Notamacropus eugenii: one gene and its partners. The protein of the gene in region 4 purifies or fractionates together with the protein of the main gene of each other region. This does not show direct contact. Links are inferred from orthologs where the notes say so. Each region holds a gene or a part of one and is shown on either strand. Other genes may lie near its edges.

Region 1 (7,490 bases), on a different chromosome or scaffold from region 4:
TGGGGATATAGTACCAAATTGTATTCTGGAATAGGTAGAGTACTTCATTTCTGAGGCATAAATTAGACGTCAGAAGCAAATAGAATTTCCCATAGCTACATAAACTGATATACCATGGTAATGCAGAAATATAGACACCAAGTCATCAAAATGATTGCCATGAAGAAACTGTTACACTTAGCAATCAATGGCTCTTTGAAAGTAACTTATCCTGAAGTGATCAGAATCAGGAGAACATGGTACACAGTAACAGCAACGTACTACAATGATCCTAATTTATTCTCAGCAACAGAATAATCCGAGACAATTCCAAAGGATTCAAGATTAAAAACGCCATCCACCTCCAGAGAAAGACTGATGGAGTCTGAAGATCCAAGCATGTTGGGTTTCTTTTTTTTTTTGCTTTCTTTATTTTTGGTGTTGTTTTTGTGTTTTCTTCCACAATATGATTAATATAGGGATTTCTTTTGTAGGACTGCACATGAATAAGCTACATCAAATTGCTTACCCTCTCAAGGAGGGGGAAGGGGAGAGAAGGAGAGAATTTGAAACTCAAAATTTAAAAAAAATGTTAAAAAGTGTTTTTATGTACAATTGGGAAAAAAATAAAATATTATTTAAAATTCAAAAAACAAAGAAAGGAAGTAACTTATCTATCCTTCCCAACAGTACTAACCATTTCAGAACCCACTTCAAGTCAACAGTTGTGGTAAATTAGAATTCAGGGCTAACATGTACCTGAATTTCAAAGAAATGAGTGATCCAAAATTACCTTACTTAAACATACAAAGTTACCTTGCTTAAACAGTTACAATGTAAAATATCACTCACGTTTAAGCCTTTCAATAGCTAGATTCTCAAACTCTGCCAAAGATATGTTTTCAGAAGGAGGTTGTAGGTAGAACTGAAGGCTATGAGGATAGGAAGCACCTCTCTGGTCCCCTGCCAGACTCAGTTTCTTTCTCCTTGATCCAGAAAACTGCATCTTTGTTACTTAAGCAATAAATAAATAAATAAATAAAGATTAGTTGAAAATATAGCAAGACAGCTTTCAACTTTGCCCACTTGAGGAGCGTTCCTAATTTTCACCAACATACATGTTAAGAGGTATGTGTTACTGGTCTCAGAGTAAGGAATTCTACCAATTATACATTCTGTAAAGACTTGAACTCTTTGGGTTCCACATGCACGTTCATTTCTCTTGTAATAAGCCTGGTTTTCACATATGTCTCATGATGATTGCTTGTTGATAACCTCCACACCATGTTTCTTATCCATCTCCAAGCTGTCACCTTAGTTCAGGTGATCATCAGCTCTCCCTTGGACTGAATTCAAATCCAATCAGATACTTACTAGCTGTGTGACCCTGAGAAAGTCATTTAACTTCTTTCTGCCTCAGTTTCCTGAACTGTAAAATGAGGATAATAATAGCAGCTCCCTCCCAGAGTAGTTACGAGCATCGAATAAGATAATAGTTGTAAAGTACTTATTCCAGTGCCTGGCACATAGTAGTCCCTAAGTAAATGTTGGCTATTATCAACACTTATACTATCTGCCTAACAGAGCTGTTGTAAGAAAAATACACTATACACCTTACAGAACTACAGACATATATGTTTATTATGAGGAGTAGGAGGACAAAGAGGAGTGCAGTGGCCCATCAATTTCACTTAAAAAATCTGTGCCAATCAATGACATTTAACATTTATACCATCTTGCAAACTGCTTTACATACAACTTTATGAAACAGGTGCCTTTTTCCTTTTCTTTTCTCTTTTTTTTCAGTCTCGAAATGTGCTTTCATTAGTGTGGAGAACTCTGGGTTGGAAATCTTGTTCCACCTACACAGAACAGCTGGCCACTGAAAAGTTAAATGGCTTGGCCACAATCATAGGTATTTTTACTTTATTCAGCTAAGGGAACAGACTTACAAGTCGTTTTGACCATATATTACCTTTGACAGGGATAAACAATCCAATACCTAGTCACGTTAAAAGTGCAAGGTCAAATCTAAACAATTAAACACGACATATGTAAAATCCAATTGTTAAATAGATCATGAAAGAACGGTATATAAATGGAGAGACACAACTGCTTCTTGGTTCATGCTGCCACTGTATATAAATTGATAAAGAGACGCAGTCACTTCTCACTCTGTCTGAACCACCATGGCCCGGTGGATGGTGTCAGACCTAAGGTCAGGAAGACCTATCTTCCCAAGTTCGAATGTGGCCTCGGACACTTCCTAGCTGTGTGATCCCAGACAGGTCATTGAACCCAATCTGCCCCACTTTCCTCCTCTCTAACACGAGCTGGAGAAGGACGTGCCAAACCATTCCAGTGTCTTTGCCAAGAAAACCCCAAGTGAGGTCAGAAAGGATCCAGAACGACTGAGAAAGAGGGGACACTACAATCGGGATTAGCCCCACGAGAAAACTGACTTAGCAAAGGTTAAGTGATCTGCTATTAAGTGCAGAAGGTGGTGTTCAAACCATGGCCTCACCGGATCTCAAGCGCAGCCCTCCCGGCCACACTTGCTGCCTGTGACCCGACCCAGTCACGCCGTGGCTCCGGGCGCCACACCCCCGGTTTTCAAGCCCTCCCTACCCGGACGGAGGTCCTGCTACTCTCAATGGCCCCCAGAGGGTAAAGGGGGGGGGGGGGGGTACAGGATGGGGAGGGACGCAAGCATGGAGATTCCAGAGCTCGACCTTCCCAGACGTGGAGCTCCCAGGGAGGCGAAGCGCGCCGCCCCCCAGGCACCACTCACCCGGCACAAGCTTCTCCCTCTCCCCCCAGGCCCCCCAGTACCAGCCCCGCTTCTCAAGCCCAGTCCCCGCAAGGGGAAGCAGGGACCCGGCACACACTCCGGGACTCCCCGGACCCGGGGAAACAAAGCCAACCTACTCACAGGGTGGAAAGAGGAAACGCGTCCCAAGACCCTCACGCGAAGCTGTTACCTGCGGCAGCCCCAAGTGCCCTAAACGTGCCGGGACCCCTTCCCTTCAGAACCAGGACTCAGCGCTTCTCAAAGGCGGGAGATTTCGGATGGAGGCGGAAGTCGTCACCACTCGCGCCGGTCCCGCCCCCGGACTGGCCCCGCCCCCAGGGCCAGGCCAGGCCCGCCCCCTCTGGGCTGGCCCCGCCCCTCATGCCTGGCGCCCCGCCCCCTAGCTCCCGGAGCCCCGCCCTGCTTCCGCCGTCCTTCCGCCCCGCCCCTGAAGTTCCAGGTCCCCCAGGCTCGGGCTGGTTCTTCTGTGGTGGCATCCCGGAAGCGGGGTTCACTTACTCCAAGGACGCACCCATTTATTCTACAATCTATCTAGTGTGTTCTGATTTGTATACGCCTCTGTACCCGTCAGGCTGTCCGCTCTCTGAAGGGAGGGACAGATTGTTTGGTTTGGATTTTTGTTTTTATTTTTTCCTGGTTTCCTCCTGTCGCCTCTGAAATCCCACCTTCATCCCAGTTGATAAATGGTCAAAGGATATAAACAGGCAGGGTTCAGAGGAAGGAATTAAAGTTATCTGTCGTCCTATGAAAAAATGCTCTAAATCACTACTGATTAGAGAGTCCCAAACCAAAACCACTCTGAGGTGCCACATCACATCTATCAGGCTGGCTAAGGCGGCAGAACAACAAGACGGCCAATGCTGGAGAGGATGTGGGAGAGTTGGAACACTGATTCATTGTTGGTGGAGATGTGAGCTCATCCAACCATCCTGGAGAGTGGTTTGGAACTATGCCCAAAGGGTCACAAAAATGTGCATACCCTTTGACCCAGCACTAGTGCTTCTAGATCATAGAAATGGGAAAGGGTCCCACATGTACAAAAGTATTTATAGCAGCTCTCTTTGTGGCGGTCAAGAACTGGAAATCAAGGGGATGCCTATCAACTGGGGAACGGCTGAATAAATTATGGTACATGAATGTAATGGAATACTGTTGTGGCATAAGAAATGATGAACAGGAAGATGTCAGAGAGGCCTGGAAGGACTTACAGGAACTGATGCTGAGTGAAAGGAGCAGAACCAGGAGAACTTTGTATACAACAACAACCACAGTGTGGGAGGAATTTTTCTGGCAGACTTAGTACTGCAGTGCGATGCAAGGATCTAAAAAATTCCCAGTGGACTCTTGAGGCAAATGTCATCCACATCCACAGAAAATTATGGAATTGGATTGCAGAATGAAGCAGACTATTTTCTCTTGTGTTTTGTTTTGATTTGGTTTTTCTCATGGTTTCTCCCATTTGTTTTAATTCTTCCATGCAACATGACTAAGTTGAAAATGTATTTAGTAAGAATGGATGTGTAGAACCCATATAAGAATGCATGCAGTCTGGGGAGGCGGGGGGAGTCAGGAAGAAGGAGGGACAAAGGGGGAGAAAATCTTAAGATTTATGGAAGTGATTATAGAAAACTGAAAACAAATAAATTAATTAATAAAATCCCACTTTTAGCAAGAAACCTTTTACAAATAAGATATGTTACAAGATAAATTCAAGATACCTCTTAGAGACGGGGCACTAGCATTAAGGAGGCTAGCAGTCTTTCCCCTGAGATTATCTCCAATTCAGCCTAAATATATCATTCATACATGGCGGTTTGCATGTTATCTCTCCTCTTAGACTGTGACCTCTTTGAGAGCAGGGACAGCTTTTGCCTTTGTAAGTGCTCAAAAAAATCAAAAAAAGTGATCATAAACACTGATTGCTTGATTGATGGGGGAAGTATCGGTTCTTTATAATGGAAACTGGGATGTGCATCGAGGTAAAGAGATGTTGAAAGATGAGATGTTAAAGAGAGGTAAGGGGTGTTGAGGGTTGACTGCAACCCTAGCACTGATGGAGCCCTGCAGGGATAAGAGTTTGTGGCCTGGCCAGAAATTGACCCAAGTGTGAACATATGAGCTTGATTAGGTCCAACCAGAGAGAAGGAAAAATTCATTCATCAGTATCACTTTTTTTTAAGATTCCCTAAAGTTTTTGTCAGCTCTTGGAGCATCAGAATAACTCTAGATTTCGGCCTCAAGGTGAGGATGGTCACTGGCTGCTGCAGAACCCTAAACATAGAGAGCAAAAGAAGAGATTCTTCAGGGCCTGACTGTGATGGCAGATACAGTGGGAAAAGCTGGATTTGGAATCAAAAGATCAGGGTTGAAATCCCAGTCCTGGACTGGATGAGGGGCTACTTTCTACCTGTTTAACCTTGGGCAATGAGGGCTTCAGTTCTTCCTCTGTAAAATGAGAGAACTGGACTTGATGTCAAAGTTACCTCCTCAGCACCTTCTAAATCAATGATCCTTCAACTCATTTGAGATTGCTGTTACCCTTTTCTTTTCCTAGGATCCATGGACTCTGGAGGTGGAGTATCTCTTTTCATCCTTTGTGTCCTCCCTACCAAAGCAACTTCAGGCACACAGCTCTTATGAAGTCCACATAGCTTGAAAATATATTCTTAGTTTGCTTTGCATTTGTGTTTGGGTTTTTTTGGTGGTTGTTGTTTCTTCAGTTAAAATCTGTTTCATATAGATATTGAGATTTAACAAGTTGGTTTGTTTTGATGAATTTTTTTCCCTCTCATGCTTTGTTAGGAAGGATGGCCCACTAGGTAGTGAAAGGGAATGAATATATTAATAAATTAAGATGACATAAAAACCAACAATGTCAATAAAAAATCAAATTTTTAAAAAATTAGAATCATAGAAGCAAAAGATAAGATCTAAGGAGTGCCACACAACTCTGTGAGAAAGATCTGCAATTTTTTTTATAACAAACTCTTTCTCCATCAAGGACAATGTATTCTGGTTGTAACATCATAGCTGGGAATGTGCTGTATGAGGAAATAGAAAGAGCACTAAAGAAAACAAAAACTGAAAAAAAATAACTACTAGACCAAAGATATAAAGAGGAAGTCTGTGTTGGAAGTGACACAGTTTTGAAGGTGTTAAGGATTGATTCTCAAGCTATCTGAAGGAGGAGAAAATGTCAAAACTGAAAAAAATAAATCTCAAACTTTATTAGTACAACAACAACAACAACAAAAAACACTAGTAGCTTCCCAGACATGCTCACTTTTAAAACCTATACAAATTCACTAATGAGGGAATTCATTAGAAGGAAAGAGATTAGCTTTTGCAAAGAGGATTCTAAAATAGACCACAATTTTTTTTTACCATCACCCAATTAACAAAATACAAGATCGCAGTGATTATTTTTTTATATTGATGACCATAAAAAAGTATTTGATTCAGCGGGACAAGATGCTCTCCTCCTACAAAAATACTTCCTGTCCATGTGGTAAAATTATACAAGATTCTGTGAAATATATAAAAAGGAGAACCTCTTTGGAAACCCTCTGATCATTAATAGTAATCAAGCTATAAAGGTGTATACTCATAAAAGATGTTCACCATTGTCATTAAGGAGATCCAGATGGCAACTAACAATAAATACTCATCAGTATCTTTTCTCAGGATAAAAGCAGATTCAAACAATAAAAAACAATTGCTCAGGAGGATTACAACCTGACTCCCCAAAGTTTTTGGGTTTCACGTAGTAAACTTTTCATTATTGACAGTGGTGGTGGTTAACACAGCAAAGACAGATAGATACATAGATGATAGATAGATACATAGATAGATTTAGCTAGTAAGGGGAAGATTTCATCTAATAGTACACAAAGGCATAAGGCAGAATGTACAACCATGTGAAGAGTGGGTGTTTGGGTGTATGTGCCTATGTTTCTTTTAACAGTAAGCAAGATTAACAAAGCATAGAAAGATGGCTATGGACCAAAGCTTGAGGGTACACCCACAGTTAAGACTGTCGTTTTACCCTCTGACACTGTTCTTGAGACACAATGTGGTTGAGTGTAGTTTTGTCCTTTGAAACTTGTTTAGATTGTTTACCAAGATGGGGAACTACGGGTATAAAATATTGTATATACTGTCCAACATGGTTGTCTAGCTAATTGGTTTTGATAAACATCTCTCTCCCTCCCTCTCTCCTTCTCTCTCCCTTCTCTCTCTCCTTCTCTCTCTCTCTCTCTCTCTCTCTCTCTCTCTCTCTCTCTCTCTCTCTCTCTCTCTCTCTCTCTCTTTCATGCTTTCTTGGAAGGGATGGTCCACTGCATAGGGAAGGGTTAGAGAGGACATGGGAAACAGCCAGCTTAGCTGGATCATAGAGGGTGGAAAGGGCAGTGAGACCAGAAACATAGATCAGGGGTAAATTGTGAAAGGCTTTAAAAACTAAACACAAGCATTAATGATGATTACAAGTAATAGTCACATGAGTTGGAGTAAAGAATGACATGATCCAATCTGTATTTGAGGAAAATCACTTTGGCATATGATTTGGAGTGAGAAGAAACTTGAAAGAGAGAAGCCAAGTAGGAGACTGTTGCAATAGTCTAGGCCAGGGGTAGAGAACCTGCAGCCTTGAGGCCACATGTGGCCCTCTAGGTCCTCAAGTGCAATCCTTTGACCGAAT
Region 2 (8,004 bases), on a different chromosome or scaffold from region 4:
ATTGATGGGCACCCCTCCCCCTTGGTTTCAACCCTTTCAATTCTGATGTTTTGCCATTTATTTGATATATGTGTGTGATTGGTTTTTGTTTTTAAGAAAAAATTGGTGGCTATCAAAATCCTGACTACCACCAATCTGGGGGACTTATTCAAGAATTCAGAGATGGAGCCTTCTAAAGAGAGGAAAGAATTTCCCGATGTAGCCTCAGAGAAAATTCACATAGTTCCTAAACAATGTCCTACTTAACAAAGCCAATAAGTTTACTCAGACAGTACAACACCAATATGAAAAGGTTTCATATTCAGCTGTCCCTTCAGGGGAATTCTTTTTCTCAGAATCACTATAATTCTGGCAGGAATTCTGTGTGAAAGAGGAAATCATGAGAGTGTAAGGAGGTGATGATGAATTATTTGAGTGTTTTGTATGTTTTTGTATTCTCTTATGAGTTCCTGTGAGTTTTTGCATCTTTTTAATTTTCTAGGAATTTTTTTTAAACTGTCCTCATATGCACTTGACGGCTAAGTTTACATGGGAGCTAGAAACCCACTTTTGAGGGGAGATTTCCTGAACAAATTTTAGCAATAAGGAGTGAGTCAAAGAGAGAAAAACTGACCCTCCTGGGGTCAGCTTCCAGGATTGGACCCACTTTGTGTGAACCTGAAGTTATTAAAGGAAATTAAGGGGAGAGCCTGGGACATGGGACATAGAGACAATTAAATCTACGAAGAGTTGATGAGATCATTAAGGGAAGAGAATATAAAGAAGGGTGCCCAGGACATGGTCTTGGAGAACAACTACACTTAGGAGGAAGAAAGAGGATGATTATCCAACAAAGCAGAAGAAAAGATCAAACAGAAGAAAAACAATGAGGAGAGTGTGGTGTCACAGAAGAAAAGAAAAGATGGCATTTCCAGAAAGGTTTGATCTAGATGAGGGGTTCTTAACTTGGGTTCCAAATACCCCTCAGGTGGTACTTGGAATCTATTTGCATAGATTTCAAGAGGGGATCTATGAACTTGGGACTTTTAATAATTTTGATAATCATATTATATAATAATTGATTTCTTTGTAATCCTATGTATTTTATTTTATTTCATACATTTAAAAACATTTATTCTGAAAAGAGCTCTAATAGGCTTCACTAGACTGCCAAAGGGACCCTGGACACTAAAATGGTTAAGAACCCCCAATCAACACAGGGCTTCCAATGTTGCAAAGAAACAGAATGAAGAATGAGAAAAGGTTACTGGATTTAGCAGTTGATAACTTTGGAGACAGCTATTGATCTTGGAAGAATGACAAGGGCTTTTCAAATGCTGCCAAATCCTGACTATCTTAAACAATCCTAGCTGTGGAAGTCCAGCAAAAGGAGAATCCTGGGACTACTTCTGGAAACCAGATTTTCAGGCTACTTACAAAAACTATGTAACCTATGTCAACCATTATAGTTTGTTCTAAGAAACAAACAAAATTAGGCTGCAAGGTGTCAACCTGAAAATTTGGTTAAAGGAGGCAAACAGGCTAGGTGATAAGTAAATCTATATTGTTTGTTCCCTTAAAGCTAGTCTAAGCTAGCTAGCTTGTACATACAAAGTGCCAGAGTCTAAGTTCTGACTGTCTGATGAAAGAATGACCATGCTTAAATGTGTTTTAGAACAATTCCAACTCAGCATGTTTGTGTCACTTAAATTTATGATCTCCATATATGATTAGCCGTATTATGACAAAGGAATTTTCTTAATTGAATAGATGGTAAATACAAAAGATAAGAGAGTTGATAAAGTGTCCATTGAAATTATAACCTAGGATATCTGTGTTTTCTTTACCATTAACATGTCATAACATAGTATGCATCCATAAAATATTAAGATAAGAAAAGGTCTCATTATTCAAGATAGTGTCTCAGGTGAAGGGTCTCATCCTTAATGGTTGTAAACAGAGGAAAGAATGCTCTTAAGTCAGTCCCATCTGGCCAAGGTCAAGTTGACATAGGAGAGGTATTCTCAGAGAACAAAGAAGCTGTTAGTTCCAGGCTCTTCTTCTGGTTGATTAGTTCAGGCTCTGTCGCTTATTGAGGTTATTAAATTGATATTAAATGATTATCAATGGGCAAGCTGATTTCTCTCAAAGCTGGCAAATCATGCATATAGAGATATACATGAGAGTTCGTTGTGAAAATGAGTCCAAGGAAGAATGGAAAAGGGGGACCTTATATCTTCAGAGCAATTTAATTTCCTCTCACTCCTCCCTCCCTTCCCTGCTCAAGATACCTGTGTCAGACAAAATTATAGTCTCCATATGTGTTAACCATAATATGAAAAAGGAATTTCTTAGTAGGATAGATTGCCCATACAATAATATTAAAGAAGGGTCAAAATGTCAATTAAAATTCCAGTCCAAAATGTCTGTGTTTCTTCTATCATCAACATGATATAATATAACAATGTAATTTAATATAACATAATGAAATATAATATAATGTAACATAATATATGTCCATAAACTGCCAAGATAAGAAAAGTGCCATTATTCAAGATAGCATCCCATTCAAGGTGAGTTGTCCTTGGCAGTCAGGAATGTTTCTGGACAGTTTCATCCAGCCTTGTAGTTATTGACACAGGAAGGAGCATTTTAGGTTCACTCAGAGAGCTGATCAAAGCATGTCTGCTATGCTACAGCCCGAAAAGCATTATGGTAGGTTAAGTTCAAAGTGGGCCAAAAAATGCTTTTCTCCTGATTGGTCAATCCAGGTTTTAGGCCTTTCTCAGCTGGGGGGCTCGGGGGTCAAGGAGGTTTGGGGAGGTCTCTGGCTAGTTCACACCTAGGTACTTCTCTGAATGGGAGAAATCAATGAGTAGATGAAGTTCTGCTGACTGAAAGGGAAGTCTGACTTGTGATCTGTGGATAAAATGCGCTCGACTTTCTTCCAACCCCATAAAGGTAAATTATTAGAACAAAAATGGGGATGCCACATCTTCTCCCAACTCCTTGTGAATGCATCCATCCCTCTCTCTTTTTTTTTTAACAGAAAGAAATTTATTGGGAATATTTTGAGAATACATTTGAAAGAATAGGTCAATGTTTTCCAGCAAGGTAGGGAGTAGGGATGCTCATTCACTTCAACCAGAGCAAAGGAAGCCCCATTCAACCCTCTCTACACCTTCTCTGAACATGTTGACATTCTCTCATTGCCCTTCTGGCAGGCAGAACTTCAGCACCTTCTCCAGTATTTCCTCCTGCCAGAGACATGCTCAGACTCACAAAAGCTTTCTCACCTTTGGACATTTTCCTTCAAGATTTGGATCAAATACTTAAGAAATTAGGGCTTTTCCTCGGGGTGTGATAGAGACCTGACTTGGAAGAGCCAATCGCTAAATTTTCATTGCAAGAATTTGCACCCTGAAAATCAGCAAGCTACAAATTGGGGGTTGATTTATTGTTTGGGGGTGGGTGGGAATCAAAGAAGGCTTTGTAAAGGAGGGAGTAATTAAGTTGAACCTTGAAGGAAAATATCCCTCACCAAAGCAATTGCTGCTTTTTCTCAAGGTGTGCTGGAGACTCACGAAAGTCAACTGCTAAATTTTCATTGTGAGAATTTTACACCTCAGAAATCAGCAAGCTACCAGTTAGCTTAATTTACTATTTTGTTTATGACCAAGACTCTAGATTTAAGAACGTGATAGCTTACACAGTAACAGCCATGTTGTTCAGTGACTGACTTTGATAGACTTAGCTCTTCTCAGCAAAGCAAGGACTGAAAACATCTGCAAAAGACTCATGATGGAAAATACCATCCACATCCAGAGAAAGAAATATAGAATCTGAACGCAGATAGAAGCATACTATTTACTCCCTGTTTTGTTTTGTTCTTTCTTTCTCATGGTTCCTCCCATTCGTTCTAATTCTTCTATACAATATTACGAATGTGAATAATAAGAAGTTTTTTAATAAGAAGGTACGTACATGTAGAGCCTATATGAAAGCCTATGCCTGCCTTAGGGAGGGTGGAAGGGAGGGAGGCAGAGAAAATTTAAAACTTATGGAAGTGAATGTTGAAACCTAAAAATAAATTAATTTTAAAAAAAAGAAATTGAAAACAAGAATGCTGGATTTGCAAGAAAGTAATGGAGAAAATGTTAATAATACAGATTTAACTTAAAAGTGTGTCCAGCATACAACCCTTTCCCCTATCCCAGTCAACTGTGAAACATTTACCAGCACTTTTACCCTGTCTGCCTCTCCTCCAGTTTTGTATTTATTCTTGTGCTGTATCTTCCCATACAACACGGGTCGCTTAAAGGCTGGGATTATTTGCTTTCCCTCTTGGTATCCCTAGCGCTTAAGTTGCTTCCTTGCACACAGCAGGTGCATAATAAATGTTGGATGACTGCGGACGATCTCCCTTCCTGTCTCGTTCAAACTCACTTCAAAGGTCAGTCAGTCAGGCTAATGCTTCTCTTTCTTTTAACTAAGAATTATCCCTTAATTTAATTTAACATTCATTGTTTAATGAATTCCAAATGCTCTCCCTCTTTTCGGCCCCTCCCCCGCCCAGGTAAGACATATGCTATCAATTATACATGGGAAATCATGCAAAGCATATTTCCATATTCAGGTTAAGGATTCCTGTAATTCACTTCTCTCCTCAGTGACCGGATGGGGCGGGACTGCGTGATCTTCAACGTCTTCCGGCCTCTAACGAGTCTCTCCAGTTCCCTATGGAGGATACAGAAGTAAATCAGTACTTCCTTCTTCCTTCTCGCGCGCCTGAGCACAAAGTGCTCTCTCCAGTTTACAGTGCCCTATCGAAGAACTACACGTCCCAGAAGGCCCCGCGAAAGACCCTTTCCCGTCGCGCCGCGGGCGCGCCTGTGCAGTGACTTAGACTCGGGATTCCCATTTCCCGCCAAACTGTGAGACTGGGGTTTCTCTTGCCGCTAGACAAAATCCCCGAGGCCCATGGCGGCGTTTGACCCCAACGAGCTGCCTGAGCTGCTCAAGCTTTACTACCGGAGGCTCTTTCCCTTCTCCCAGTACTATCGCTGGCTCAATTATGGCGGAGGTGACCGGGGAATGGGCTCCCGGGAGGGGAAAGCAGCTGCGGGAGGGGGCGGGGGGAGGCGTGGAGAGCCTTGGGGGCGCACGGAATAGGAGTGCCGTCCTCTCCAGGTGGGGAGAGTGACCCAGTCACCCCACTTCTGGGGCCTGGCCTCCTTGAGCCCAGCGCCTAGGAAGCGCTTTGTAAGCGTTAGCCATCCTCATCGTCATTGTTACTGTTGAAGCGCTACATAAATATCGGCTATCGCTGTTGAAGCGCTACGTAAAAGTTAACTGTATTCCTTATTGTTGTCAGATTGAAACTCTATGTAAATGGTAGCTCCCATCATCGCCGACATGCTGTGGAAATATTACCCATCATCGTTATTGTTCTTGTTGAAGCGCTGTGTGTAAAAGTTAGCCATCATCTTGGGCCGTTATTGTTACTGTCCAAGAGCTGCATAAGTGTTAGCGATCGTCATTGTGCAAGCAAGCGCTGCATAAGTGTTAGCGATCGTCATTGTGCAAGCAAGCGCTGCATAAGTGTTAGCTATCATTACTGTGCAAGCAAGCGCTGCATAAATGTTAGCTATCGTCATTGTGCAAGCAAGCGCTGCATAAATGTTAGCGATTGTCATTGTGCAAGCAAGCGCTGCATAAATGTTAGCGATTGTCATTGTGCAAGCAAGCGCTGCATAAGTGTTAGCGATCGTCATTGTGCAAGCAAGCGCTTCATAAATGTTAGCGATTGTCATTGTGCAAGCAAGCGCTGCATAAATGTTAGCTATCGTCATTGTGCAAGCAAGCGCTGCATAAGTGTTAGCGATCGTCATTGTGCAAGCAAGCGCTGCATAAGTGTTAGCTATCATTACTGTGCAAGCAAGCGCTGCATAAATGTTAGCTATCGTCATTGTGCAAGCAAGCGCTGCATAAATGTTAGCGATTGTCATTGTGCAAGCAAGCGCTGCATAAGTGTTAGCTATCATTACTGTGCAAGCAAGCGCTGCATAAATGTTAGCTATCGTCATTGTGCAAGCAAGCGCTGCATAAATGTTAGCGATTGTCATTGTGCAAGCAAGCACTGCATAAGTGTTAGCTATCGTCATTGTACAAGCAAGCGCTGCATAAGTGTTAGCTATCATTACTGTGCAAGCAAGCGCTGCATAAATGTTAGCTATCGTCATTGTGCAAGCAAGCGCTGCATAAGTGTTAGCTATCGTCATTGTACAAGCAAGCGCTGCATAAGTGTTAGCTATCATTACTGTGCAAGCAAGCGCTGCATAAGTGTTAGCTATCGTCATTGTGCAAGCAAGCGCTGCATAAATGTTAGCGATTGTCATTGTGCAAGCAAGCGCTGCATAAATGTTAGCTATTGTTACTGTGCAAGCAAGCGCGGCATAAATGTTAGCTATCGTCATTGTGCAAGCAAGCGCTGCATAAATGTTAGCTATCGTCATTGTGCAAGCAAGCGCTGCATAAATGTTAGCTATCGTCATTGTGCAAGCAAGCGCTGCATAAGTGTTAGCTATCATTACTGTGCAAGCAAGCGCTGCATAAATGTTAGCTATCGTCATTGTGCAAGCAAGCGCTGCATAAGTGTTAGCTATCATTACTGTGCAAGCAAGCGCTGCATAAGTGTTAGCTATCATTACTGTGCAAGCAAGCGCTGCATAAGTGTTAGCTATCGTCATTGTGCAAGCAAGCGCTGCATAAGTGTTAGCTATCATTATGGAAGCGCTACATAGATACTAGTTTATCATTATTGTCCAAGTGCTACATAAATATCACCCTTATTGTTATTGAAGTGCTATATAAATATTAGTTATCGTTATTGTCCAAGCGCTGCATAAATGTTTGTTATCATTATTGTGGAAGCGCTCCATAAATCAACTATCGTTTTATTGTTGTTGAAGCGCTATATAAAAGTTATCTTCATTACTGTTGAAATGCTGTGTAAATGTTAGCCATCATCGACATTAATGCTGAAGCGCCATATAAAAGTTATCGCCATGATTGTTGTTGGACTCTGTAAACATCCTCATTACTGTTACTATCAGTGAGGTTAAAGTATTTCAGGCAAGATGAGGAGGAGCCAGGTCTTCTCTGGGGATGGCTCCTCTCCTCTCTTTTCAGTGCTTCCTCTCACCCCTTCCACATCTAAGTTACTTAATGAATTCTGGTTGGATTGCATTAGAGTAAATTTGTTCTGCTTGCTCCAGAGTACTAAACTAGGAGTAATGGGTAAAAGTTGAAGAGGAAGATGAAGCCTGGAATGAAAAGAAAGTATTTCCAAAAGTAATAGCCTTTGAGAAAGCCCTCTTCACTTAAGGCCCTTTTAAGCAAACCCTGGATGAGTACTTGATTGTGTTGTAGACTGGGTTCTTGTTTTAGTTCTGGGTTGGCCCAGATGCCCTCAGAGGTCCCATCCACCTCTGAGATTTTGAGAATTTTTCCCCTCTCCCCTCCCAGTCTTTTGAGTATCACTGCTTAGAGCTAGGGAAAAAGGAAATTAACAATTTGAGCTTTGAAATCCTAGGGCTCTGGGAACCAGGAGACCTGGGTTCTAATCTACCTTCTGCTAGCTCACTGAGAAAATGAGAGGGTTGGCATGGAATTTTGGATCCCTTGATGTTTGATCTATGAATTCTCCAGGATCATAGAGAGCTTCATAGGCCTAGAAGGGAAAAGGACCTTCAAAATCATCTAATTCAACCCTCTAATTTTACAGATGAGAAAACTGAGGCCCAGAGAGGTTTAGTGACTTTCCCAAAGTCAAATGGTTGATCAGGTGAGCCAGGATTTGATCCCAGGTCTCCATATTCAAGGTTCTTTCCACTCTACCAGAAACAAGACTTAACATCTTTATTCCTCTACCTAATACAGCCTATGAAACGGAAATATTAATCCTGAGAAAGCCCCAGAGTGAGGGACTGAAAAGATAGCTTTTTTTTTTAATTTTTTATATCA
Region 3 (8,175 bases), about 280 Mb from region 4:
GCCCTCATCATCAATAAAAGAGTGAGAAAAGCAGTGCCGGCATTTAATCTCAAAAATGACAGAATGATATCTATCTGAATCCAAGGCAAACCATTTAGCATCTCAGTAATACAAGTCTATGCTCCAACCACTGATGCCAAAGAGGCCCAAGTTCATCAGTTCTATGAAGACTTACAACATCTTCTAAAAATAATGCCCCCCAAAAAGATGGTCACATTTATTATAGGGGATTAGAATGCTGAAGTAGGAAATCAAAGGATAATTGGAACAGCAAGAAAGTTTGGTCTGGAATACAAAATGAAGCAGGGTGGAGACTGTTGACCTGAAAACTTGGTTAGAGAAAAGGCAACATGGCTAAATGCATACATTTTATGATTTAATTAATTAATTGATCAATTCCCTATAAAGAAAACAGTTACATAGCGCTATGGAGTCAGAGGTGACTCTGACTATCTAGTACAGAAATCATCTGTCTTAAGTACATTTTGCCATGAGAAAGAAACTCTCCTAATTAAGCAAATCATAAATTCAGTAAGACAGGACAATTAACAAAGCAATGTTAGTCAGGCCTTGAGATTCCAAGCTGGGTAAGCATATGTCTCAGTGATAAGGAAAGAAACCCCACCACTAGTAAGTGGCAGGCTTCCTCCCTTAAACAGATAATTGACATAGGAAAGGGTAAACAATGTTCAATAGAAATTATGATCTAAGATGTCTATATTTTCTTTATCATTAATACGCCATAACATAGTATATGTCGATAGATCAAAGGAAAGTCCCATTATTCATAACATAGTATGTGTCTATAGATAATAAGATTCATCAAAGGAAAGTCTCATTATTCATCAAAGGAAAGTCTTATTATTCAAGATATAGTGTCTTAGGTTAAAGGTCTCCTTAAGGAGTGTAGAGTCGGCCTTGGCTGGCTTTTGCTGACATAGGAAGAGGCACTCTCTGAGTTTACTTCAGAGAGAACAAAGAGATTATTCCAAAATTTTATATTAAACATTATCAAGACTAATAGAGTTTTTTCAAGAAAATTTGCTGGTAATAGCACATTCTCTTTCAACAACCTAAAAGGTTACTCTCAACATATTACCAGATGATCAATGTTGAAATCAGATCAATTATATATTTTGCAACCAAAGGTGCAGAAGCTCTATATAGTCAGTTAAAACAAGACCTGGAGCTGGCTATGGCTCAGATCATGAGCTTCTTACTCCAAAATTCAGGTGTAAATTGAAGAAAATTAGGGGAAACCATCAGACCAAATACGTATGACCTAAATAACATCTCTTATGAATATGAAGTGAAAGTAATTTATAGTTTTAAGGGATTAGATCTGGTACAGTGTCTGAAGAATTATGGACAGAAGCTTTCAGTATTGTACAGGAGGCAGCAACAAAAAACATTCCAAAGGAAAAGAAGAGCAAGGAAGCAAAATGACTTTGATGAGGCTTTACACGTAGCTGAGAAAAGAAGGAAAGGGAAAGGAGAAAGGGAACTATATACCCAGCTGAATGCAGAATTCCGAAAAATAGGAAGGAGAGATAAGAAGGTTTTCTTAAATGAGCAATGCAAAGAAATAGAAGAAAATAATAGAATGAGAAAGACAAGAGATCTTTTCTAGAAAAAAAGATATCAAGGGAACATTTCATGCAAAAGTGGGTGTGATAAAAGATAAAATGGAAGGGACTTAACAGAAGTAGAACAGATTGAGAAATGGTGGCAAAAATACACAGAAGAACTATACAAGAAAGTTCTTGACATCACCAATAATCATAATGGTGTGGTTATTCATCTAGAGCCAGACATCCTGGAGAGCGAAGTCAAGTGGGCCTTAGGATACAATGCTAACAATAAGGGTAGTGGAGATGTTTAACTATTTAAATTCCTAAATTCCTATTTAGCTATGTAAAATCCTAAAAGGTGATGCTGTTAAAGTGCTACATTCAACATACTAGGAAATTTGGAAAACTCAATGGTGGCCACTGGATTGGAAAAGATCAGTTTATATCCCAATCCTAAAGAAGGACAATAGCAAAGAATGTTCAAAATCACCAGACAATTGTATTCATTTCACAGTCCTGCAAGGTTATGCTTAAGATTCTGCAAGCTAGGCTTTGGCAATACATGAATCAAGAATTACTAGAAGAGCAGGCTGGTTTTCAAAGAGGTACAAGAACTAGAAACCAAATTGCCAACATTTGCTGGATTGTGGAAAAAGCAAGGGAGTTCCATAAAAACATCTACTTCTGCTTCATTGACTACACCAAAGCCTCTGACTGTGTGGATCACCACAAAATGTAGCAAGTCTTCAAAGAGATGCAAATACTAGATCATCTCATTTGTCTGCTCAGGAACCTGTATGTAGGCCAAGAAGCAACACTTAGAACTGAGCATGGAACAGGTTTATGATTGAAAATGGAATATGACAAGGTTATATATTGTGACCTTATTTATTTAAGTTATATGCAGAGTATATCATGTGACCTGCCAGGTTAGGTGAATCAAAAATTTAATTTAATTTAAATTTTAATGGAATTAAATGTGGCTGAGGGAAATATCAGCAAAAATGAATTAAGAAGCCTCTTGATGAGAATGAAAGAGGAAAGTGTAAATAAAAGCTGGATTAAAGCTTAACAAAAAACTAAGATCTTGGAAAGTGGTCCAATAACTTCCTAGCAAATAGGAGAAAAAATTAAAGTAGTGTCAGATTTTATATTCTTGGGCTCAGAAATCACTGCAAATGGCAACTGTAGCCATGAAATTTAGACACTTGCTTCTTGGAAGGAAAGCTATGGCAAATCTGTACAACATTCTAAAAAGCAGTGATATTGATGAGGTTAATGGTGAGGGGAACCCTAAAATACCGACGGTCTGGGTCGTGCTCGAATGAATTCGACTCAAGCCTTCTTAGAACCAAAGAAAACAAAATTTATTAAGGATTCGCCTAATTGGGTTGCCTCTTAAGAGCCTAAGCTTTTGTAACGTTTGTATTCACAAGCGGGCCAGGCACAATCCCAGCTAGACAGAGTCTGAGCTGGATTGCATCTGAGCGCCTTCATGGAGGCAAGGTGGGACTTAAATACAGAAAAGAGTATAGGAGGGATGGGGGGGGGGGGGGGGGGAGGAGATGGTCTGGTAGTTCAGGGTGATGGGAGGAGGGGTTTAGGAAGGGTCTTGAGGAGAAGTCCAAGGAGGGAATCCAAGGAGGGTCAAAGGCTGGAAATAGCTGGAGGCTATCAGGAGATAGCAGACAATGGAGGGTTTGGGTGGGAAGCAGGTGGGGCAATCCAGAGATCTTGATAGGGGCAGTATGGGAATGGGGTTTTGATGGGATCAAGGGTGGGGAGTGCAACAGAGACCTGAAATGATAATGAAAAGCCCATGGGCTTCCTGAGACTTCGGAACAAATGGGAAGATTAGAGTTGAGTAAGCAAGGCCAGATTCTGTGGGGAGATTCAAGGGGAGCTCAAGGAGGCTCCCAGAGTCTGAACCTCATCAATATCACCTTGCTTACAAAGATCTGTAGAGTCAAAACTATGTTTTTTTTCTAGTACTGATGTACAGATGAGAGTTGGATTGTAGGGAAAGTTGAGTGCTTCAGAATCAACACTTTCAGATTATGGTGCTGAAGACTTTTGAGAGTTCCCTGGACATCAAGGAGATCAAATCAGTCAATACTTAAAGAAATTAACTCAGACTATTCACCAGAAGGTCAAATACTGAAACTTAAAAACTCTTGCCACTTAATAAGAAGACAGGAAAAGCCCCTGATATGAAGAAAGATTGAAGGCAAAAGGAAAAGAGGATGGCAGAGGATAAGATGGATAGAGAGTGTTATGGAAACAACAAACATGAACTTGAACAGACTTCAGGAGAGAGTGAAGGATAGAAGGACCTGGTAAGCTATAGTCTATGGGGTCCCAAAGAGGGTGTGGAACTCAACTAATTTTCATAATTGGTGGGCATGTTCAGAAGAGTATACCAAAACGGAGTAATGGGGGTGGGCATGGGGGTGGGGAGCAGGCATCAGATAAATCTTACTCTTATCTGAACCGGACAAAGGTTTTAACACACACACACCTATCACCACCACCACCCCTCCCACACGGATAGCTTGATGTAGAAATAGTGTCCCCAAAGTCTTTGTTCCTGCTTTAAGCAGGGAAACAAGTTGGGATACGGGAAGGAATAACATCAGGAGAAACAAACTTCCTGATCTTCAGGGGGGTAATTTAAAGACAAAAGAAAAAACTTGAACCTAAGGAGTTCCCATTAACTGGTGAATGGCAGAATAAACTGTGAATGTCATGAATATTATATTACATATTTATTATATTTTGTTGTAAGAAATGAGGAAAACTTGAGAAACAGGAACTGATGCAAAGTGATCTGAGGCAAACCTGTAGAACAACTTACACACTGACAACATTTTAAAGAAAAAACACCTTTGAAAGACTTAAATCTGATAAAAGCAATGCAACCCAACCCAAACCACAGAGGTCTTAAGAGAAAGCACTATGGACAAGTGGGGTTGAAGGACTCAAGGTGCAGGAAGTGAAATGGTCCCTGTGTGGGAACTCTTTTGCTTGGTTTATTAAGAGGATTTATTTTTCCTGCTTTTAATTGGGGAAAGAGGTTGGAGAACAGCCATACTGATGCCAAAAAAAAGGGGGAATCATTTAAACAGTTTTAAAAATTCACAGAATACAAAGTAGTTCAGAAGGAAGCACAACGAGGTATTACAGTAATGGGTTGACTTTATTATATGTTAAAAAAGCAATCTCAGTGGAAGAGATTCAGGGCTTCATGCAGAGACCTCTTTTTGTGTTCTACTTTCTTACAGAAATGCTTAAGGGGGGGACGGGACCGTGGGTTTAGCCCAGAAGGTAGGGGGAACAGAGCTACAGTCAACCAGCCCCTGGGCAAACAGCACCCGGACCCAAGGAAAGGCAGGGCTGGACCTCCCTTCCACCCAGCGCAGCCTCAGGCTTACGTCATCACCGCCAGCCCCGAGCATCGCAGGAAGAAGGACGGGCTTTCGACCTGGGATATGACGTAAGTGGCACGTGACAGCTTACGCCACCGCTTCTCTGCTGCCCGGGAAAGTGCAAATTGGGGCACTGCCGAGGCCCGGGAGAGACAAAGAGAGGAGCTTCTGAAGAGCCGTGGTGAGTCCTCCCCGGGATCTGTCCCTCCACTCAGCGGCCCTGTCGGAAGTCAAGGGAGAAGTCCTGGTTTCTGGAGCTAGGAGGATGATCTTTTAGAAAAAACTACAGCTCCCAGCAGGCTGCGCGCTGGCTGGCTTCCCGCTGGGCTACCTGGGAAGGTCGCTCGCGTTTGCCTGGAGCGCTGCTGCCCGGGCACCATTGCCAGCTGGCGTTTTCTTACCCATTTCTTGCTCTTTCCCTTCCTCCTCCCGTAACGAATCTGAGCCCCGCACTGATCACAAACTCTCAGCTGGAAGAGACATCACAATTTTCCTTGGCCTAGGTCGAGATCCCCTCCATAACATATGTTCAGGGCTTCTGCTGAGCTGGAGTACCCTAAAGGTGGGGGTGGGGAGGATCCCCACTACCCCCCCCCCCCCCCCCCCCCCCCGCCCTGTCCCGGCCCATCCCTCTTCTGGGCCAGCTTTAATTGTAATTACAATGGATTGTTTAAGTAGCTTCTCTTGAAGGCCTAAATCTGCCTCTCGGTGGGTGCATGAAAAAGCACTTACTGGGTGCTAAAGACTTGGGGCCTGTGCCAACATCCGGGGTGCAGATACTAAGCCAAGCCACCCCTGTACTCTGGGAGCCCGCATTCTGACTGGGAGCGGTGCGTGGCTTGAGAAGGAAGCCCCCTCAGGCCCCCTGCGGCTGCCTCCTAGTGCTGTCCTCCGGAGCCTAGCAGAACAAGTCTAAATCCTCAGCCACTCCATAGTGAAGGGCCTCAGCGAAGGGACCTTGGCTGTTTTAAAGGTCGTCCAGACTTTGGTGTGCTTTAATCTGTGCTTGAACTTCCGTGTAACGCCCTTGGCAAAAAGCTGGAGGCTCCAGGGTGGAAGTGTAGGACACCTCAGAGGTCATAAAACCTACCCCCTTGCCCCCCACTCTCCTCAGTTTTGTAGAAGCTCTGGGAGGTCAGCTAGCAGAGCAGGGTTTGAGCCCCTGCTCTCGGACCACAATTTCCAGTGCATCAGGTCTCTGACGTCTTGTGTACTCTGTTTGACTTTCCTTCCTCACTTATAACCTAGAGATAGATGTGTGGTAGAGTGGTACTGTTGAAATAATGCCACATTTGGATTCAGGAGATCTGCCCTCCCATTCTGGCTCTGCTATTTACTAATGATTGAGTTTGGGCAGAACAGTTTCCCATCGGTATGATGGGGATAATCATCAATATAGCCTGTCTCATAGAATTGTTGTTAGTAAAGCCTTTGCAAACCCTAAATACAAAAACCTTAGAGCCATTGTAAATGTTAGCTACGGTCTCTCTCCTTTGGGAGGCATCCAATCCCAAACCACATAAACAGTTACATGATAATAGAGTGCTTGGAATACGTCATACCAAGAGAGAAGCGAATTCAACTTATTGTCATTATTATTTACAAAATTGTCATCTGTGTGAACAGAAATGTTCAGAAGTCTGGGATGATTTCGTGAAATTTTAATAATAAATATACTGAATTTCAGGAAATTTGGGAATTGAACTGGACACAGGTAGATATGCCAAAGATAACATTAAATGGAGTTACAGTGGATTTTCCTTTCCAACCATACAAATGTCAAGAAGACTATATGGCTAAAGTCCTGGAGTGCCTGCAAAAGGTAAGACTTCCCTTAGAATTTTTGTTTGAGTCACAAGTTCATGTTAAGGCTATGATTCAAAAAGCACCAGATTTATTACTTATTTCTTACATATTTGTTCCTCCCTTCCACCATGTGTAAGTTCATTTTCTATTTTATTTTAAAATGCTAAACAGCCTGGAATACCAGAATGACAAAAGGAGAAGTGTTTGATTAGTTGAAAGAGTTGCAGATTTGGTTCCCCTTCTCTCCCATTTTATTTATTTATTTTTCTTGGTATCTTTTGTTTTTACAACCCCTTTTCCCAAATGTATCTTTCTTCCCTTTCCCTCCCCTACCCAGTGTAATATCCTTTGTAAACAAAGGTTTAAAAAAAGGGAAAAAAAGAGCTTCAATAAACCCTACAAATGCATCAATCCTGTGGAAGTGTAATATTCCACACATGTAGATGTAGGATCATAGTTCTCTACCTGTAAGGAACTTCAGAGGTTCATCTAGTCCAATTCCAAGCCTCTCTACCTCTGCAGTGATTCAGTCATTCTGTAAGAAGAAACGTCCAATTTTCAACTCTTGTCTCTTTCCTTCTACATTTTAAAGTAGAATAAAGATAATAGGTTCTTTGTGTCCCTGCCATTAAGTTCAGTTCAATAAGTGTTTATTTCTGTTGATTCTCTCCTTTGTGCTTTGTAATACGTGTTAGCTATCTATCTTTGGCTATTTGTTCTTTTTATTTATTTTTAATTTTGTTGTTTTCCACTGATACTTTTTAAAAAAATTCACATTTCTTTTCAAATACTTCCATTCCCACCCCTAACCCATTGAACCATCCTTTGTAGCAAAGATTCAAAAAGAAATGGTGGCAGGGGGTAGAGCAGTTTAAAAACTAATCACCACATCAGTAATTTCTGGCAGATTTTGAAATATTCCTTGTCCATAATTCTCCCATCTGAGGGATTTATTCTGGTTATGATTGATGCTGGAGCTGAGATTCCTGTGTGCTGTTAGCATTTGGCCTGGGTTTTAGCTCTGGTCAGCTGGCTTGTTTCTAACAAAGTGGAGGCTTGGATCCATTTCAGTCCCAACTAAATTCATAGCTTTTGTGGAGCTGTATTCTTAGCCTCTCATTGAATCCAATGATTACAGACATTCATGTAAGAAATTTGTATTTAGGCTTTCAGATAAGGCAACTGTTTGAAAGCCTAAATTCAGAATTGCAAAATTATTTGTTATTTAAGGCATCCCTAGCAAAATATCTTGCTGTAAATTTTAGCTGAAGTACACCATTATAGTATTATTCAGTGATGAGATTGTTAAAACCCAGTGAAGTTGTGATTTGTGGAACTAGATTGAGAGTTTCAACTTAAATTGTAACATCTCA
Region 4 (7,460 bases):
GCTCATGAACTTAACTTCTGTTGCAGACTCTTTGAGCCCCTCCTTTTAGACAAAATTCTAACACAATTCTAGTTTCTTAGCCCAAAGAATGAGGCAATCTGGGGGATTTGACATAAGGGCAAATATACTCAAGACTATTACATAAACATGAACTTGCTTCAGTGAGAAAAGGTTAAATGACACAGCATGGGGGAGGGGCTTAAAGAGAGGGGAAAAAATTCATTTTAGTAAGATTTTCATTAAAATGATTTTTAAAAAAAGTTTAGATACTTCCACAGTTAAATATCTGTTCCCCTCTGCCCCCCAAATGCCAAATAAATGAGAGACTACTCCTCCACCTCACATTTGTACAGGGTTTATAATTTTTCCAAAAGCATTTACACTACAAGATTAGCTTAGTTTTATCCCCACAACATCTTTTTGAAGTCCAATGGTCACATACTTAATGAAAGTGTAAGGCTGGGGGGAGAGGGTTTGGTTTAAGGGTTAAGTGTCTTTTCTAAGGCATATCTGGAACTAGAATCAAGATCTCAATCCAAGATCTTTTTGTCATTTCATGAACATATTTTGCATATGAGGTGTTCCCAGTTTCTATCCCAGTTCTAGGAACTAGGCAGGGTGCAGGTACAATTTTATTCTCATTTTAAAGTTTTGCAAAAAGAAAATCTTAAGTCCCAGGATTTAGGAGCGAAAAGGCCTCTGAGGCTGCCAACATAAAAAACCAAGGAGCAAAGAGGGAAATTACTTGCCCAGATTCCAGCTAATCAGTGGAAGAGCTTGAATCTTACCTCAGGCCCTCGCTGCAAAGACTGCTCTTTCAAAATGGGATTCTAAACCTTGCATGACAAGTGAAGGGAGAAAAAGGCCAGAGGCTAAATCTGCACCCCCCTATCCACCCAAACCCCAGCCCCTTTGCCCCATTATCTGTGCTTCTGGATTCCCCCCACAAACAAGTCACAGCTGGCAGTTTAGCAGAGATAAGAGCCCAAGCAATCACCATTCTGAATAGGGGGAAATGTGAGATACTGACAAGAGGCCTCCCCGCCCCCGCATTCTAACCAGGATTTCCTATTTTAAGAACTCCCCAAAGCAAAGGGTCAACAGAAGGGCTTCTCGTTGCACCAAGTGCAAACCTTAAGTTACTGCTTTCCTTCTAAGCTGCTGAATGGCATAGTCCCATAAATAAAAGTGCCACAGGAAGGCTAACAGAGAACAGAAAACTAAGGGTCATCTCATTACTCATCAACAGTCACAGCCATATGTGTAGAATTATCTTCTTTTATAACAAACATGCTGGGCAGGGCCTATTGATCCTCACACATTGGGCCCAAGGAAGTACAAGTCTGGAAGAGAATTATAGGATAATCCCCAAAGCAAATACATATCTCCAATTCCATCAGTCTCAAGTGTTTAAGGTTCAGCTCTGCTACATATAGGAGGCAATCAGGAAAATTAATTACCTTCCTATCAGTCACCTAAGTTTTTAACAAGTGGGGGCACACCATTTAATTACCTCATTGACATGGACATAAATTTGTCTAAGGATAGCAGGGGTCAGTCAAAAGTAATTTTTGTTGCATGGAAGGACATCATACAGTGGAATGAAAGGGAGGGTGCTTATGGAATTGTTCTCATGAAGAACTCTATCCATCTCAAGGATGAGTGGCAAAGAAAGGTCATGGGGAAGGGAGGGACTAGGGGAGCTCTTTGAAATGTGGGGGAACAGGTCACAATTTAAACTGTGTCACAGAGTGAGGCTTCAGATATGTTACTGGAATGACAAGTATTTACCATGATTTCAGACCTTCGCCCAAAAAAAAAAAAAAAAGACCATCTCCTCCACACATACCCCTTTTACCATGTTGCAAACATTGTCCCCTTTGTGACCTTCCCCTAAGAACCTACTGTACCAGCTCAGGCTAGTTAGATAAATTATATTACACTTGTGTACATCCTGTGTCTCCATCTCAATACCCAAGCCCTGTTCCCCACCCCACGCCCCACAAAAAGGGAAGTTTCCTGATGGCAAGAACCATTGCATTGCTGTCTTTCTATCTTCCAGCATCTAGGGAGCAGACAGTGCGTGCTTAATAAGTATTTGCCTTAGTAAAGCTACTTGTGAAGTATAGAAGCTGTCTGGATAGGAGAAGTATTTGTGTTACATCCTAAGTCTCAGTTTTTCCTTTTCCACAAAATAAAGGGGTCAAACTAGATGGCCTCCAAGATCCCTTTAAGCTTGAAATATAAGTTCTCCTAAAGCCAATGCCTGCCCTCAAACAGGTTGTCAATTGGCCGAAACTTCACATGAACAAGATACTAAAACTAAACACCAGATCGATAGTACAGGGAATAAATGCATAAAAGGTTCAGAACAGGAAGGGGAAGATCACTTCTAACTTGGGAAGATGGAAAATCCAGGAATGCTTCACATGGATTATGGATGGGCAGAACATGGTGGAGGTGGGCTAAAGGCACAAGACTGGGGGAGAGGAGGGACAGTTACAGAGCAGGAGACAGGCAAAGGAGGCCTGTACAGCCTGGGTACCACATTACAGAACGTGGACTTGATCCTGCTGGCAATGGTCAGCTGCTGAAGGGCTGTGAGCAGCACTTGGACAAGATCCAGTGGTACCGAAGAATGTGACTGGAGAGTGTGCAGGATGGTTTGGGAAATCCAAGGGGTTTAAGAAGCTGAATCCTGAAAATGGGAAGCTATTTTGGTACCAAGGTAAAAATGGTCTGGACAACTTGGGTGACCGTGGGACTGCCCACATTTAGGGGCAAAGTGGAGCCAGGAAAAGGAAGAAAGGTCAGACAAAATGAACACAACTCGGTGGAAGGGATGAGTTTTCCAAGAGAGGCTGGTCAACATCAAATGCTGTTGAGAGTAAGGGGCTGAAGACTGAGAAAATAAGGAATGTGGTGTTCAGACCGTTGGAAGCCCCCAAGTGTGCACGGTGGAGAGGAAAACCTACCCTTTTAGTTTTAAAACTGAAGTCTTTCTCAAACCGTTCCATAAAAACACATTTCTGGAAAAAAGGTGCCCCTGAAATCAGGTTCGGTGACCCACCTTTGGTATCAGAAAACTCTCGTTACAAAACCGGCTGCGAAACCCCCTTTTACACAAAGAAAAACTGGCAACTGTGAGACCTGCTTTCTACACGGAGCTCTAGGAGGAACGTGAACAAGGGCGTCATCCTCTCGGGCCTCAGTTTCCTCGTCAGGAAAATGGGCAGGAGGATCTCGCAGAATTTGATCCTGTGATTTCTGGAAGGTCCCCGAGGCACTCTCAGGGACCAGGCGCCCAAGACCCGACCTCTTCCCGGCGCAGGCACCGAAGCCGGGGAGTTTGGTTAAAAAAATAAGGAGTTCAAGACTTCCTGAGTCCGGCCGGGGCTCCCCAGGACTAGCAGCTTCCTAGACGGCTCCGGCCGGGCCCCGGCAGCCCGCTTCGGCCCCTGCGCCGAGGAGCCGAGTCGCCCGAGCCGCCGCCCTCCACGCCCGGTCCGCGCCGCAGCAGTCCCGAACGTTTCCTGGCCCGGCCCGGCGGCCTCCGCCACTTTCCAGTCGGGCAGAGCCGGGCTCGGAGCTCGCTCGGGGCTGCCCGGACCGGCCACCGCCTCCTCCCCCCACCTCCCCGGCTCCCCGTCCCGCAGGGCGCTTCCTCCTCCCGAGCCCAGCCCGGGCAGGGACCGGAGCCACGGCGGGGGGCAGAGGCGGGCAAGCCGGCGCCCGCGGTCCTCACCTGCTCGCTTGCGGGGGTGTCCCGACGCTGACGGCCTGTCTCCGCGCTGTCTCCCCACGCAGTTGCCCATGGCCGCGGCTCAGCCCGGCCCCATGCACGGGCGGCGGCGAGCGGGCAGCCCCTCCGATGCCCCGAGCGGGTCCCGGGCCACTCCGGACTCAACTGCTCCTGCCGTTCTGCATCAGTCGTTGTCCCCTCGCTCTCCGGGGCACGCTCAGCCCCCGCCGCCGGCTCCGCCACAAACTTTGCGGGAGAGCGGGCGGGAGGGCGGCTCCCTCAGCGCTCAAGAGCCCGCCCCAGGTGGTCGGGCCAGGGGGGCTGGGGCCGGGAGCGGCCAGGAGAAGAGGCCGGAGAGAGAGAGGAGGGGCGGGCACCGCGGCCAAGGCCACTCAGACCTAGCTCCGCGATCTCCTCGGAGTCCGTCCCCGGACACTGTCACTCACCTGCAAAGCCCCGCCCCGGCCGGGCCCCGCCCGGCTCTGGCTCCGCCCCCGACCCAGGTGAGCATGTGACCGTCGGCCCCGCCCCGCTGCCCGGGCCCAGCTCTCTCATTGGGTTCCCCCGAGGGGGGCGTCCCAGCCGGGCCCCACCCAGTCAGGTATCCGCCCGGTCTCCCCGAAAGTCTGCTTCGTTAGTCGTCTAGGGTGGTGTGCCGTCCTACCTACTCTACGAACCAGCTGAGTCCCCGGGCAGCTGACCCTTCCCCTCCGACACGGGGCCTTTTTCTCTCTCTCCCCGGGACGGTCCGGCCGGGAAGGGGGCAAACACGTGACCTAGGCAACCCTCCCTCTCCCGCTTTCTCGCCACGTGATTGGTCGGAGTGCGCATGCGCGAAGCTGCCCCGGCGCTGCCGTGGGGCTGTCTCCTCCATCTCTTACCCCTCCTCCTCTTCCCAATTTCCGATCATGGCCGCGGCCTCTGAGGAGGCGCTGGCCCCGGCGGGCGCCCTGGGTGGCCTCGTCCAGGACTTTGTGGTCGGGCAGCAGGACGGCCCGGCGGCCGAGGTGGCGGCAGGTACATCCGCGCTGCAAGCTGCGGGGAGGGAGCAGCCGCCGCCCCTGGCGCCGGCGGGCAGGGAAGGAGGCGACGGTTGGGGTGGGCCTGGGGACGGAAGCCGACTAGGGCCGAGCCGTCGGGACGGGAAAAGGGGCCACGACGGAGCAGTGCCGGGGCGGAGGAGGAGAAGGAGGTGTGGGCTCGGGAGATCCGGCGCGTGGCGTGGCGTGGGCAGGCGGGAGCAGGGAGCCACGTGGGCTCCGGAAGCTGGCTCGGGCCTTGGGTGCATGATGGAGAGGAAGAAGGGTGGTGGAAGGCGACACTAGTTCTGGGGGTCCCCGAGGGCCTCCCCGGCCCTGCCTGGGCGCTTCCCGTGGGCCCCCCTCCCTGTATCGCGCTCTTCCGCGGGGCTTTCAACCCTCCCGAAACTTTGTCTTGTCTCGTCCACGCACGTTTGCGTTCGGATTCTTGGATAGGAGGCTGAGGCAGGGCTCCTTTAGACAGAAATCTTCCTAGAGAGTTAGGCAGGGTTACAGGGCCCCCCGATCCCGTGCTAAATAGTAAATAACGTAATTTATTAATAACGAGCTTGTGGAGGGGAGGAGGTTGTCCACTAAGAGTTTTGGGTTTGACAGTTTTACCAGTCTGTAAAAAACAGCCTAACTTTCTGGAAGAAGTAGACTCCTTGGTGGAAGGGGACTGTGTCATTTTGGGGTTTAAAAGAAAACAACCCAGTACTTTGCACAGTGCCTGGCCCTCAGCATCGATTAGGCTCTTCTGTAGTATTGCCTGGCTCGTCATTGATTAGGAAAGCTGTGATCACTTCGGAGGGGGAGGCCTTAAAAGAGAGGATGTACCATTTGCTTATTTGTGACCCCTCAAATTTATGAATACTGAAAACCAGGTGTTTGACTTTTAGAGACAGAGGAACAGTGTTTGAGAAGAAATTTGGATAGGGACCAGATCATAAAATAAAATTGATAAAGGTAAATTTGGTGTACCTTGAATGATAGTGCATAGCTTTCACATTTTAATAAAACCCGTTAAATTACTAAACCCCTAAAAGTTATCCTTTTTAGCTAAACTCTGTCCAGCTAGCCCAATTGTGATTGTCCACTGCTCTAGGTACCACGTTTAACACTGTCTCTTTGTTCTAAACAAAGTTCCCTTCGTTAAATTAATCCTGGGTGGCCCTTGTCTTTAGTGTCTTTGGCAGGCTGGCTTTGTATACAGTGCTCTACATTTACTGTCTCCTTCTGGGCTTTATTCAACTGTATCACTTATCTCTGACCTTATACTATTCATTTAAACCCCTCTGAGTTTCAGTTCCCGTATATATAAAATGGGGATAATACCTCAATGTTCTAGTGAACAACTTGCTTTGAAAACTTGGGTGCTATATAAATGTAAGCTGTTATTATAATCTGTAGATATCTACTTGTTCTTTCTCCTAAATTCCTTGCACAAGTTATGAGGTGGGGTCACTATCCATGAGCTTAATCTTTTGGGGGGATATTATAAGTAAGCCAGTTAAAGAATAATATAAGAATATAATACTTATCAGGGCTGCTAGGTGGCGCAGTGGATATACTGTGTTGCACCTGAAGTCAGAAAGACTCATCTTCATTGAGTTCAAATCTGACCTTAGACACTTAATAGCTGTGTAATGCTGGGCAAGTCACTTAACCCTGTTTGCCTCAGTTACTTCATCTGTAAAATGAGCTGAAAAGTAAATGGCAAACCACTCCAATATCTGTGCCAAGAGAACCCAAAATGTCACTCACAGAGAGTCGGACGGACACAACAGAAGTGACTGGACTCAATAATTGCATTAAATTGTGAGGTTATGACAGTAAAGTTTTAGAGAAGGGGCAAAATCAACTTGGGCTTACAGACTTTTCCAGTTTAGCCACTGCACGTGATTGTGGCAGTCTGACTTGAGCCCATCCTAGTAAAATGAATGGGATTTCAGTAGTCCCAGGTGAATGAATGAAAAAGGTTTTGATAAGTTTTTACTAGCACTCTGCTAAATGCTGGAGTATATTACAAAGGTTACGATTGCTCCTGCCTTCTGGGAACTTACCTTTTTGTTTGGGAGACTGCATCCTAGAGCTGAGGATATTTCTAAGTTAGGTGAATGAACAAAAGCTTAGAGGTGATAGAGTGTAGACATTAACCTGACCTAACTCTAGAGTTGCTTTTGGTTGGGGTGAGTAGTTTAAGATAAAATTCTGTTACAATAGGGCTGGATTGTGAGGAGGAGGTCTTAAATGTATTTAGACTTTAGAAGTCTATACGAAAAGCTACCAATAAGCAAATCTCCTGACTTTTATGCTACTCCTGGTGAAGGAGGGGATGAGAATGAATACATTTTACTGAACTGGGGATGCAAAAGGCAAATAATAGTCCCTGCTTTGCAGGAGTTCACAGTCTACTGGAGAGTACACCATGTAAATAACTGAATGTAAGCAAGATCTACACCGGATAAGTTGGAGAAAATCCCAGAGGGAGGGGGAAAAGGACACAACTTGGAATTTAAATCCTGATTTTTTTATATGACCATGAGAATGTAAGCTCCTCGAGGGCAGGAACTTTTCTTTCTGTCTTTATATCCCTAGTACATTAATTGTATTGTGGTTGTTTGTGGGGGTTTTGGGCGATTTTTAATAACCCACAGCTTTTTCATTATCTTTTTAATGTTATAGAAACAAATCTTCAC

Evidence for each region.
Region 1: the proteins of MMS19 (region 4) and PRIM2 purify together in Homo sapiens (affinity purification with western blotting; 5 studies listed by BioGRID and IntAct, with this or other methods). This does not show direct contact. The link is inferred for Notamacropus eugenii from reciprocal best matches to the Homo sapiens genes MMS19 and PRIM2.
Region 2: the proteins of MMS19 (region 4) and PRIM1 purify together in Homo sapiens (affinity purification with western blotting; 3 studies listed by BioGRID and IntAct, with this or other methods). This does not show direct contact. The link is inferred for Notamacropus eugenii from reciprocal best matches to the Homo sapiens genes MMS19 and PRIM1.
Region 3: the proteins of MMS19 (region 4) and RTEL1 purify together in Homo sapiens (affinity purification with western blotting; 4 studies listed by BioGRID and IntAct, with this or other methods). This does not show direct contact. The link is inferred for Notamacropus eugenii from reciprocal best matches to the Homo sapiens genes MMS19 and RTEL1.

What each region holds. Positions count from the first base shown.
Region 1 is NC_092873.1:125,583,970-125,591,459, reverse strand, and holds the start of PRIM2 (DNA primase large subunit), read right to left. Parts: upstream 3,125-7,490; 5' UTR 2,961-3,124; exon of another isoform or gene 2,912-2,960; intron 994-2,911; 5' UTR 986-993; coding exon 832-985; intron 1-831. UniProt on the Homo sapiens protein: Regulatory subunit of the DNA primase complex and component of the DNA polymerase alpha complex (also known as the alpha DNA polymerase-primase complex) which play an essential role in the initiation of DNA synthesis.
Region 2 is NC_092874.1:232,034,009-232,042,012, reverse strand, and holds the start of PRIM1 (DNA primase small subunit), read left to right. Parts: upstream 1-4,824; 5' UTR 4,825-4,959; coding exon 4,960-5,062; intron 5,063-8,004. UniProt on the Homo sapiens protein: Catalytic subunit of the DNA primase complex and component of the DNA polymerase alpha complex (also known as the alpha DNA polymerase-primase complex - primosome/replisome) which play an essential role in the initiation of DNA synthesis.
Region 3 is NC_092872.1:496,918,582-496,926,756, reverse strand, and holds the start of RTEL1 (regulator of telomere elongation helicase 1), read left to right. Parts: upstream 1-5,041; 5' UTR 5,042-5,177; exon of another isoform or gene 5,178-5,216; intron 5,217-5,397; exon of another isoform or gene 5,398-5,558; intron 5,559-5,728; exon of another isoform or gene 5,729-5,945; intron 5,946-6,683; 5' UTR 6,684-6,716; coding exon 6,717-6,818; intron 6,819-8,175. UniProt on the Homo sapiens protein: A probable ATP-dependent DNA helicase implicated in telomere-length regulation, DNA repair and the maintenance of genomic stability. Acts as an anti-recombinase to counteract toxic recombination and limit crossover during meiosis.
Region 4 is NC_092872.1:214,294,465-214,301,924, reverse strand, and holds the start of MMS19 (MMS19 nucleotide excision repair protein homolog), read left to right. Parts: upstream 1-4,422; 5' UTR 4,423-4,650; coding exon 4,651-4,759; intron 4,760-7,460. UniProt on the Homo sapiens protein: Key component of the cytosolic iron-sulfur protein assembly (CIA) complex, a multiprotein complex that mediates the incorporation of iron-sulfur cluster into apoproteins specifically involved in DNA metabolism and genomic integrity.